Xenopus tropicalis: one gene and its partner. The main gene of each other region encodes a partner of the protein of the gene in region 2 in a complex. Links are inferred from orthologs where the notes say so. Each region holds a gene or a part of one and is shown on either strand. Other genes may lie near its edges.

Evidence for each region.
Region 1: the proteins of rab3gap2 (region 2) and rab3gap1 are in contact, whole or in part, in a cryo-EM structure (PDB 8VYB), measured with the Homo sapiens proteins. The link is inferred for Xenopus tropicalis from reciprocal best matches to the Homo sapiens genes RAB3GAP2 and RAB3GAP1. Residues at the interface, in NP_036546.2 of Homo sapiens: Arg197, His198, Pro199, Gly200, Ser276, Pro277, Phe278, Asp279, Met281, Lys282, Ser285, Asn286, Ile287, Gly289, Phe290, Asn291, Ala292, Ile294, Arg377, Phe378, Gly379, Leu380, Pro381, Asp382, Arg385, Cys395, Thr397, Leu398, Arg407, Arg415; in NP_036365.1 of Homo sapiens: Thr19, Ser21, Trp23, Glu24, Glu142, Ser143, Asn146, Leu147, Leu149, Ser150, Ser153, Ile154, Ile169, His170, Trp173, Arg174, Met176, Arg187, Asp189, Glu191, Met192, Val193, His194, Leu195, Arg196, Pro199, Tyr202, Ile211, Ser214, Lys215.

The regions. Positions count from the first base shown.
Region 1 is NC_030685.2:84,384,155-84,388,451, forward strand, and holds the start of rab3gap1 (rab3 GTPase-activating protein catalytic subunit), read right to left. Parts: upstream 2,957-4,297; 5' UTR 2,882-2,956; coding exon 2,864-2,881; intron 2,788-2,863; coding exon 2,732-2,787; intron 1-2,731. UniProt on the Homo sapiens protein: Catalytic subunit of the Rab3 GTPase-activating (Rab3GAP) complex composed of RAB3GAP1 and RAB3GAP2, which has GTPase-activating protein (GAP) activity towards various Rab3 subfamily members (RAB3A, RAB3B, RAB3C and RAB3D), RAB5A and RAB43, and guanine nucleotide exchange factor (GEF) activity towards RAB18.
Region 2 is NC_030681.2:10,595,153-10,598,957, reverse strand, and holds part of rab3gap2 (rab3 GTPase-activating protein non-catalytic subunit), read right to left. Parts: intron 3,752-3,805; coding exon 3,645-3,751; intron 3,172-3,644; coding exon 3,105-3,171; intron 2,668-3,104; coding exon 2,597-2,667; intron 2,137-2,596; coding exon 2,101-2,136; intron 1,931-2,100; coding exon 1,856-1,930; intron 1,562-1,855; coding exon 1,343-1,561; intron 376-1,342; coding exon 286-375; intron 1-285. UniProt on the Homo sapiens protein: Regulatory subunit of the Rab3 GTPase-activating (Rab3GAP) complex composed of RAB3GAP1 and RAB3GAP2, which has GTPase-activating protein (GAP) activity towards various Rab3 subfamily members (RAB3A, RAB3B, RAB3C and RAB3D), RAB5A and RAB43, and guanine nucleotide exchange factor (GEF) activity towards RAB18.

The DNA of each region.
Region 1 (4,297 bases), on a different chromosome or scaffold from region 2:
CCCCTCAGCCCCTGTCTCTCCCCCTCCCACAGGTACCTACCCTCAGCCCCTGTCTCTTCCTCTCCCACAGGTACCTACCCCTCAGCCCCTGTCTCTCCCCTTCCCACAGGTACCTACCCTCAGCCCCTGTCTCTCCCCCTCCCACAGGTACCTACCCCTCAGCCCCTGTCTCTCCCTCTCCCACAGGTACCTACCCCTATGCCCCTGTCTCTCCCACTCCCACAGGTACCTACCCCTCAACCCCTGTCTCTCCCTCTCCCACAGGTACCTACCCCTATGCCCCTGTCTCTCCCTCTCCCACAGGTACCTACCCCTCAACCCCTGTCTCTCCCTCTCCCACAGGTACCTACCCCTCAGCCCCTGTCTCTCCCCCTCCCACAGGTACCTACCCCTCAGCCCCTGTCTCTCCCTCTCCCACAGGTACCTACCCCTCAGCCCCTGTCTCTCCCCTTCCCACAGGTACCTACCCCTCAGCCCCTGTCTCTCCCCCTCCCACAGGTACCTACCCCTCAGCCCCTGTCTCTCCCTCTCCCACAGGTACCTACCCCTATGCCCCTGTCTCTCCCACAGGTACCTACCCCTCAACCCCTGTCTCTCCCTCTCCCACAGGTACCTACCCCTATGCCCCTGTCTCTCCCTCTCCCACAGGTACCTACCCCTCAACCCCTGTCTCTCCCTCTCCCACAGGTACCTATCCCTCAGCCCCTGTCTCTCCCTCTCCCACAGGTACCAACCCCTGTCTCTCCCTCTCCCACAGGTACCTACCCCTCAACCCCTGTCTCTCCCCCTCCCACAGGTACCTACCCTCAGCCCCTGTCTCTCCCCCTCCCACAGGTACCTACCCCTATGCCCCTGTCTCTCCCACTCCCACAGGTACCTACCCCTCAACCCCTGTCTCTCCCTCTCCCACAGGTACCTACCCCTATGCCCCTGTCTCTCCCCCTCCCACAGGTACCTACCCCTCAACCCCTGTCTCTCCCTTTCCCACAGGTACCTATCCCTCAGCCCCTGTCTCTCCCTCTCCCACAGGTACCAACCCCTGTCTCTCTCTCTCCCACAGGTACCTACCCCTCAGCCCCTGTCTCTCCCCTTCCCACAGGTACCTACCCCTCAGCCCCTGTCTCTCCCCCTCCCACAGGTACCTACCCCTCAGCCCCTGTCTCTCCCTCTCCCACAGGTACCTACCCCTATGCCCCTGTCTCTCCCTCTCCCACAGGTACCTACCCCCTCAACCCCTGTCTCTCCCTCTCCCACAGGTACCTACCCCTATGCCCCTGTCTCTCCCACTCCCACAGGTACCTACCCTCAACCCCTGTCTCTCCCTCTCCCACAGGTACCTATCCCTCAGCCCCTGTCTCTCCCTCTCCCACAGGTACCAACCCCTGTCTCTCCCTCTCCCACAGGTACCTACCCCTCAACCCCTGTCTCTCCCCCTCCCACAGGTACCTACCCCTCAGCCCCTGTCTCTCCCCCTCCCACAGGTACCTACCCCTCAGCCCCTGTCTCTCCCCCTCCCACAGGTACCTACCCCTCAGCCCCTGTCTCTCCCCCTCCCACAGGTACCTACCCCTCAGCCCCTGTCTCTCCCCCTCCCACAGGTACCTACCCCTCAGCCCCTGTCTCTCCCTCTCCCACAGGTACCTACCCCTCAGCCCCTGTCTCTCCCCCTCCCACAGGTACCTACCCCTCAGCCCCTGTCTCTCCCTCTCCCACAGGTACCTACCCCTCAGCCCCTGTCTCTCCCTCTCCCACAGGTACCTACCCCTCAACCCCTGTCTCTCCCACTCCCACAGGTACCTACCCCTCAGCCCCTGTCTCTCCCTCTCCCACAGGTACCTACCCCTCAGCCCCTGTCTCTCCCCCTCCCACAGGTACCTACCCCTCAGCCCCTGTCTCTCCCTCTCCCACAGGTACCTACCCCTCAGCCCCTGTCTCTCCCTCTCCCACAGGTACCTACCCCTCAACCCCTGTCTCTCCCTCTCCCACAGGTACCTACCCCTCAGCCCCTGTCTCTCCCTCTCCCACAGGTACCTACCCCTCAGCCCCTGTCTCTCCCTCTCCCACAGGTACCTACCCCTCAACCCCTGTCTCTCCCTCTCCCACAGGTACCTACCCCTATGCCCCTGTCTCTCCCTCTCCCACAGGTACCTACCCCTCAGCCCCTGTCTCTCACTCTCCCACAGGTACCTACCCCTCAGCCCCTGTCTCTCCCTCTCCCACAGGTACCTACCCCTCAGCCCGTGTCTCTCCCCCTCCCACAGGTACCTACCCCTCAGCCCCTGTCTCTCCCCCTCCCACAGGTACCTACCCCTCAGCCCCTGTCTCTCCCCCTCCCACAGGTACCTACCCCTCAGCCCCTGTCTCTCCCCCTCCCACAGGTACCTACCCCTCAGCCCCTGTCTCTCCCTCTCCCACAGGTACCTACCCCTCAACCCCTGTCTCTCCCCCTCCCACAGGTACCTACCCCTCAGCCCCTGTCTCTCCCCCTCCCACAGGTACCTACCCCTCAGCCCCTGTCTCTCCCCCTCCCACAGGTACCTACCCCTCAGCCCCTGTCTCTCCCCCTCCCACAGGTACCTACCCCTCAGCCCCTGTCTCTCCCTCTCCCACAGGTACCTACCCCTCAACCCCTGTCTCTCCCCCTCCCACAGGTACCTACCCCTCAACCCCTGTCTCTCCCCATCCCACAGGTACCTACCCCTCAACCCCTGTCTCTCCCCATCCCACTTACCTCTCCCACTCGGACGCAGTAGTAAAGTCCGTGATCTCAAACACCTCGGACTCGGGCTGCAGGGAGAGAAGAACAGACAGTAAATCGGAGGCCGAGGGAACAGAAATGATAACAACACAGCTGGAAACTCACATCACTGTCAGCCGCCATCTTGGGCCGGGGAAGACGTCAGCACGGTGCATGCTGGGAAACAGGAACTAAAGGAAAACATTGCGGGGAGTGTGAGGGGGAGTGTGAGGGGGGGAGTGAGGCACAGGGTCCCGGGAATCATCAGAACTGGGGTGGGACAGGGGAGGCAGGGTGTCACTCCGGGGTGCTGGGGGTCATGGGGCGAAGGGCGGGACAACAAGGGGGGCTGTGTGGCACAGGGAGTGCTGGGAATAGTGACAATAGGGTGGGAGTAGATAACTGTGGGGCACAGGGGGTGCTGGGAATAGTGACAATAGGGAGGGAGTATAACTGTGGGGCACAGGGGGTGCTGGGAATAGTGACAATAGGGAGGGAGTATAACTGTGGGGCACAGGGGGTGCTGGGAATAGTGACAATAGGGTGGGAGTAGATAACTGTGGGGCACAGGGGGTGCTGGGAATAGTGACAATAGGGAGGGAGTATAACTGTGGGGCACAGGGGGTGCTGGGAATAGTGACAATAGGGAGGGAGTATAACTGTGGGGCACAGGGGGTGCTGGGAATAGTGACAATAGGGAGGGAGTATAACTGTGGGGCACAGGGGGTGCTGGGAATAGTGACAATAGGGAGGGAGTATAACTGTGGGGCACAGGGGGTGCTGGGAATAGTGACAATAGGGTGGGAGTAGATAACTGTGGGGCACAGGGGGTGCTGGGAATAGTGACAATAGGGTGGGAGTTGATAACTGTGTGGCACAGGGGGTGCTGGGAATAGTGACAATAGGGAGGGAGTATAACTGTGGGGCACAGGGGGTGCTGGGAATAGTGACAATAGGGAGGGAGTATAACTGTGGGGCACAGGGGGTGCTGGGAATAGTGACAATAGGGTGGGAGTAGATAACTGTGGGGCACAGGGGGTGCTGGGAATAGTGACAATAGGGAGGGAGTATAACTGTGGGGCACAGGGGGTGCTGGGAATAGTGACAATAGGGAGGGAGTATAACTGTGGGGCACAGGGGGTGCTGGGAATAGTGACAATAGGGAGGGAGTATAACTGTGGGGCACAGGGGGTGCTGGGAATAGTGACAATAGGGAGGGAGTATAACTGTGGGGCACAGGGGGTGCTGGGAATAGTGACAATAGGGTGGGAGTAGATAACTGTGGGGCACAGGGGGTGCTGGGAATAGTGACAATAGGGTGGGAGTTGATAACTGTGTGGCACAGGGGGTGCTGGGAATAGTGACAATAGGGAGGGAGTATAACTGTGGGGCACAGGGGGTGCTGGGAATAGTGACAATAGGGAGGGAGTATAACTGTGTGGCACAGGGGGTGCTGGGAATAGTGACAATAGGGAGGGAGTATAACTGTGGGGCACAGGGGGTGCTGGGAATAGTGACAATAGGGAGGGAGTATAACTGTGGGGCACAGGGGGTGCTGGG
Region 2 (3,805 bases):
CTCATTCAGGTGCAAATATATGTGTGTGGGCCCTGTTACTGGCCGAACATCAGCCACTTATCAATCGGCAAGCTAAAGGATCCCATTGGGTGAGAACAGCATGATCCAGTTGGTGGGTCTGTATAGGCCCACATTATGGCTCCTTGGTTGGCATGGAGACCAACCAACTGTACCAGCCCTAAGGCACAGGGGACCAAACTGGGCAGCGATACCCTGACTGGGACACCCCCCCAGTGGAAGTGCTTATGGCTGAACAAGACTGAAGATGAGAAAGCACAGACATACCTGTTGCCGTAGGCTCACTAAACTCGGGTCCGCATCCCCGCTCGGCAGCAGCTGAATGGAGGTCAGATCTTTGAAAAATGCGTTTTTACCCTAAATATAAAAAAACAAACAATGCAGTTTTTTCTTTAAAGACAAACTCACAAACATGAGCATTTGACATTTTGCAATTTGGCCAAACTGTGATTGGTTGGAACATGGGCCACAATGACTGAGAGCCAGCTACAGAATGCTGCAGGCCAGTGACAAATGGAAATCATATCAATTTGGGCCAGTACTAATAACCCAGAGGAGCCAATCAGCATGTTACGTTTAGTAGATCTAAAGCAAAGCTTAACTACCCCATAAATGAACACTGCATGAGCAATAGTATCCAGACCCCTGACTGGCCAGGGGATTCATATGAAGTTGCCCCTCCCTTTGCTGCTATAACAGCCCCTCTGCTTCTGGGGAGGATTTACTTGGGCTCTGATGTTGGGGGATCAGGCTTGGCTCACAACCAGAATTCCAATTCATCCCAAGGGGGTTCAACTGGCTTCTCCCAATCCTATCTCAGCAACCCCATTCTGCAGGGATCTGGCCGGGGGGCATTATTGTGCTGTTATGGGGCTTCCCTAAACTGATGCCATGTAGCAGGAAGCATGGGATTGTCAGGAATGTCACTGGATGAAGCTGTGGCGCCATGAGTCAGCCATGATGGCTGCATACACATACTCCTGACCATACAGAGCACCGTTGGTGAGAATCAATAACTAGATTAGCCAGACTGACCTCTCCATTCAGCTTTTAGGGAGGTAAGAGGAAGGCTAACTGGTACAGACTGTAATGCCAGGGATCTCAGTGCCACCCATAGTCTGGCCAACAATCAGCAACGGGAACCCACAGCAGCAATGCAACGGAACCACTGCCAATCAGGGATCGGACTGCAGCCACAAAGGGGGTCTCCCAACTGCTCCGAGCACTAAAGGCCAAATATTCCTTGTGTGGCTCAAACCCAGCTCCTGAAACAGCAAGTGTGAGTGTGCAGATAACTTGTGCAACAAAGGGACACGGCACGTACCTTACTGTCATACAGCGCAAGAGGCTTGATGGATTTGAGGGAAAACCTCATGACTGAGTAGAGAATGGCTGAGAGGACAAACTGGTGCTCCACCAGCGGGTAGTGTATGTGCTTCTGTTCCAGAGCCAGTTCTACTATGGAGCTCGGACCTTCCATATTCACCCAGGAATCTTCCAGCTCCAGCAGGGGGGCCTGCATCTCCTCACTGCTAACGTCAGCCTTGGGAAATAAACAGCGCAAAGGTCACATGATGTCAGCGCTTAATGCCCCAGCATGCTTAGTGGTGTAAGGAGGTGAGCATTAAACCCACGGTAATTAAACATGGTAACAGCAGCAGGGTCAGTAGCCCCCTGAGCAATAACAGAGGCAAGGAAATAGCAATAAATACAGATTCATTCTTCTACTTCATATGGGAGAAAGCAATAAGAAGATAACACCCCCCCATATCCTCATGAGTTTATGTACAGAGTCGGGGGGATGGGGGGGTGGGTTACCCCTATCTGTCACCATTACCTCCATCATTGCCTGCAGGAGATCGGAGCAGCTCCCCAGGAAAGAGCCCATTGCCGTGTCGCTCATCCCCACGTCCTGGGAGAGGAAACAAAAGAGAATAAGGCTCAGGCAACTCATACACAGAAATCTCTCCCTAAATAACAAGTAAATCTGGAGCCCTCCATCACCCCCACTGCCCCCCATAGCCATTCATCCGACTGCCTCCTCTCCTCCAAAACAGGAGGAATCCTACGTGTGACACTTACCCTTCGGCACAGTCTGTCCTTGGGAGCTTTCCCAACCTACAGAACACAAAGCAGAGAGGGACTGTCAGTGCAGGATATACATCAGGGAAGCCCAGCCTGAGACGCAACTGATACAACTCCCAGCATCCTCCAGTCACAGGAATAGTGACAGTTGCACTGCACAACAGTAAAGGGGAGCAGGATGGACATCCCCGATGCCTCTACTTAAGTACCTAGTACGTAGGTGTTACATATGTTCTAGGTACTCCTAGCTAAATTAAAGGAGAAGGGAAGTTTAAATTACCTAGGGGGGCCAAATGTTAGTCGTCGCCCCCCCCCCCCACAGTGATAATAATTACTGGCCCAGGGTATCAGGTAAGTGATTACAGTCACTGCAGGGTGCCTAACATTTGGCACCCACCAGTGATTAAAGCTTAGTTTCACCTTTAATCCCAAAGGATGTTGTCTAATCACCATATGGGATTACAGTAGCGCCCCCCCAAAGGCCGGAGCTCACCTTATCTATGAGGTACGCAGCGGCAGAAAATCGCTTTATGATGAACGTGTTCCACATCATGAGAGAGAGCCCTGAGTGGAAAAACAGAAGGAAAGGAATAATCACCCATATCTGTGCCAGGGTGCAAGGCAAATTACTAATGGCAAACCGACTGTATGATGGGCATCCCTTCCCTACACAGAGGTGCAAACAGCCCCAATAAACTGACTGTCTATGGCATCTTACAGAAGTGCCTCTGGTATACGGCAGAACATACAGACTGCCAGTCTGGCCCAGATGGGCACCCATTCATCTCTTCTGCTAGAACTCCTGGGCTCCCAGTGAAAATGAGGTTTGGATGAGTAATTATCATCCTCGCATATAAGCAATATCGCCATTATCATCCTCGCATATAAGCAATATCGCCCCCTTCTGGAGAGACAAGCAAATACCCACAATACATATATGAGAGAGACACACACACAACTGGCAGCACGACACATAAACTGACTGTACTGACAGCACTCACCAAACTGCACGTGTGCATTGCTGATTCGCTTTAAGTGGTCGATAGAGCGAGCAAGGAACTGCACTTCCTGTGGAATGAATATAAGAAAGTAGTAAGAATGACATACACACTTGCATAATGCCAATACTAACAGCATTCTTTCTCATAGCAAAGCATGGCTGCCATCTTGGATTTGGTTCCTTTATGGCAGGGGTCCCCAAACTTTCTTACACAAGCACCATAAAAGTTCATGGAGGAGCCAAATAAAAGCTGTGATTGGCTATTAGGCAGCCCCTATGCACCCTATCAGCTTACAGGGGGCTTTATTTGGTAGGAAATCTTGTTTTTATTCAACCAAAATTCAAAAATAAATCCCTGGTTTGGGGGCACTGAGAGCAACATCCAAGGGGTTGGGCAGCCATTTTCATTCATTTTCAGATTTCATTACACTGTCCCTAAGGGAAATGGCACTTCTCTAATGCAGAGCCCTACAGTAACCCCCTGTTTGCACCAAACAAGCAGCAGGAGTACAAGGAAGGGAACGTGACTATCGGCCCCTACCTCTGGGTCTTTGTTCCACTGTAGCACGTACTCCCAGCAGCAGTGCGCGTGCAGCACGTCTAAATCCAGGCTCGATGGGAAATGCTGATAGGCTAAATAGAGCAGCGCTGAAGGGAAACAGAACAGAAACATTACCCTACAGAGACTGGCACCGAGGGGCC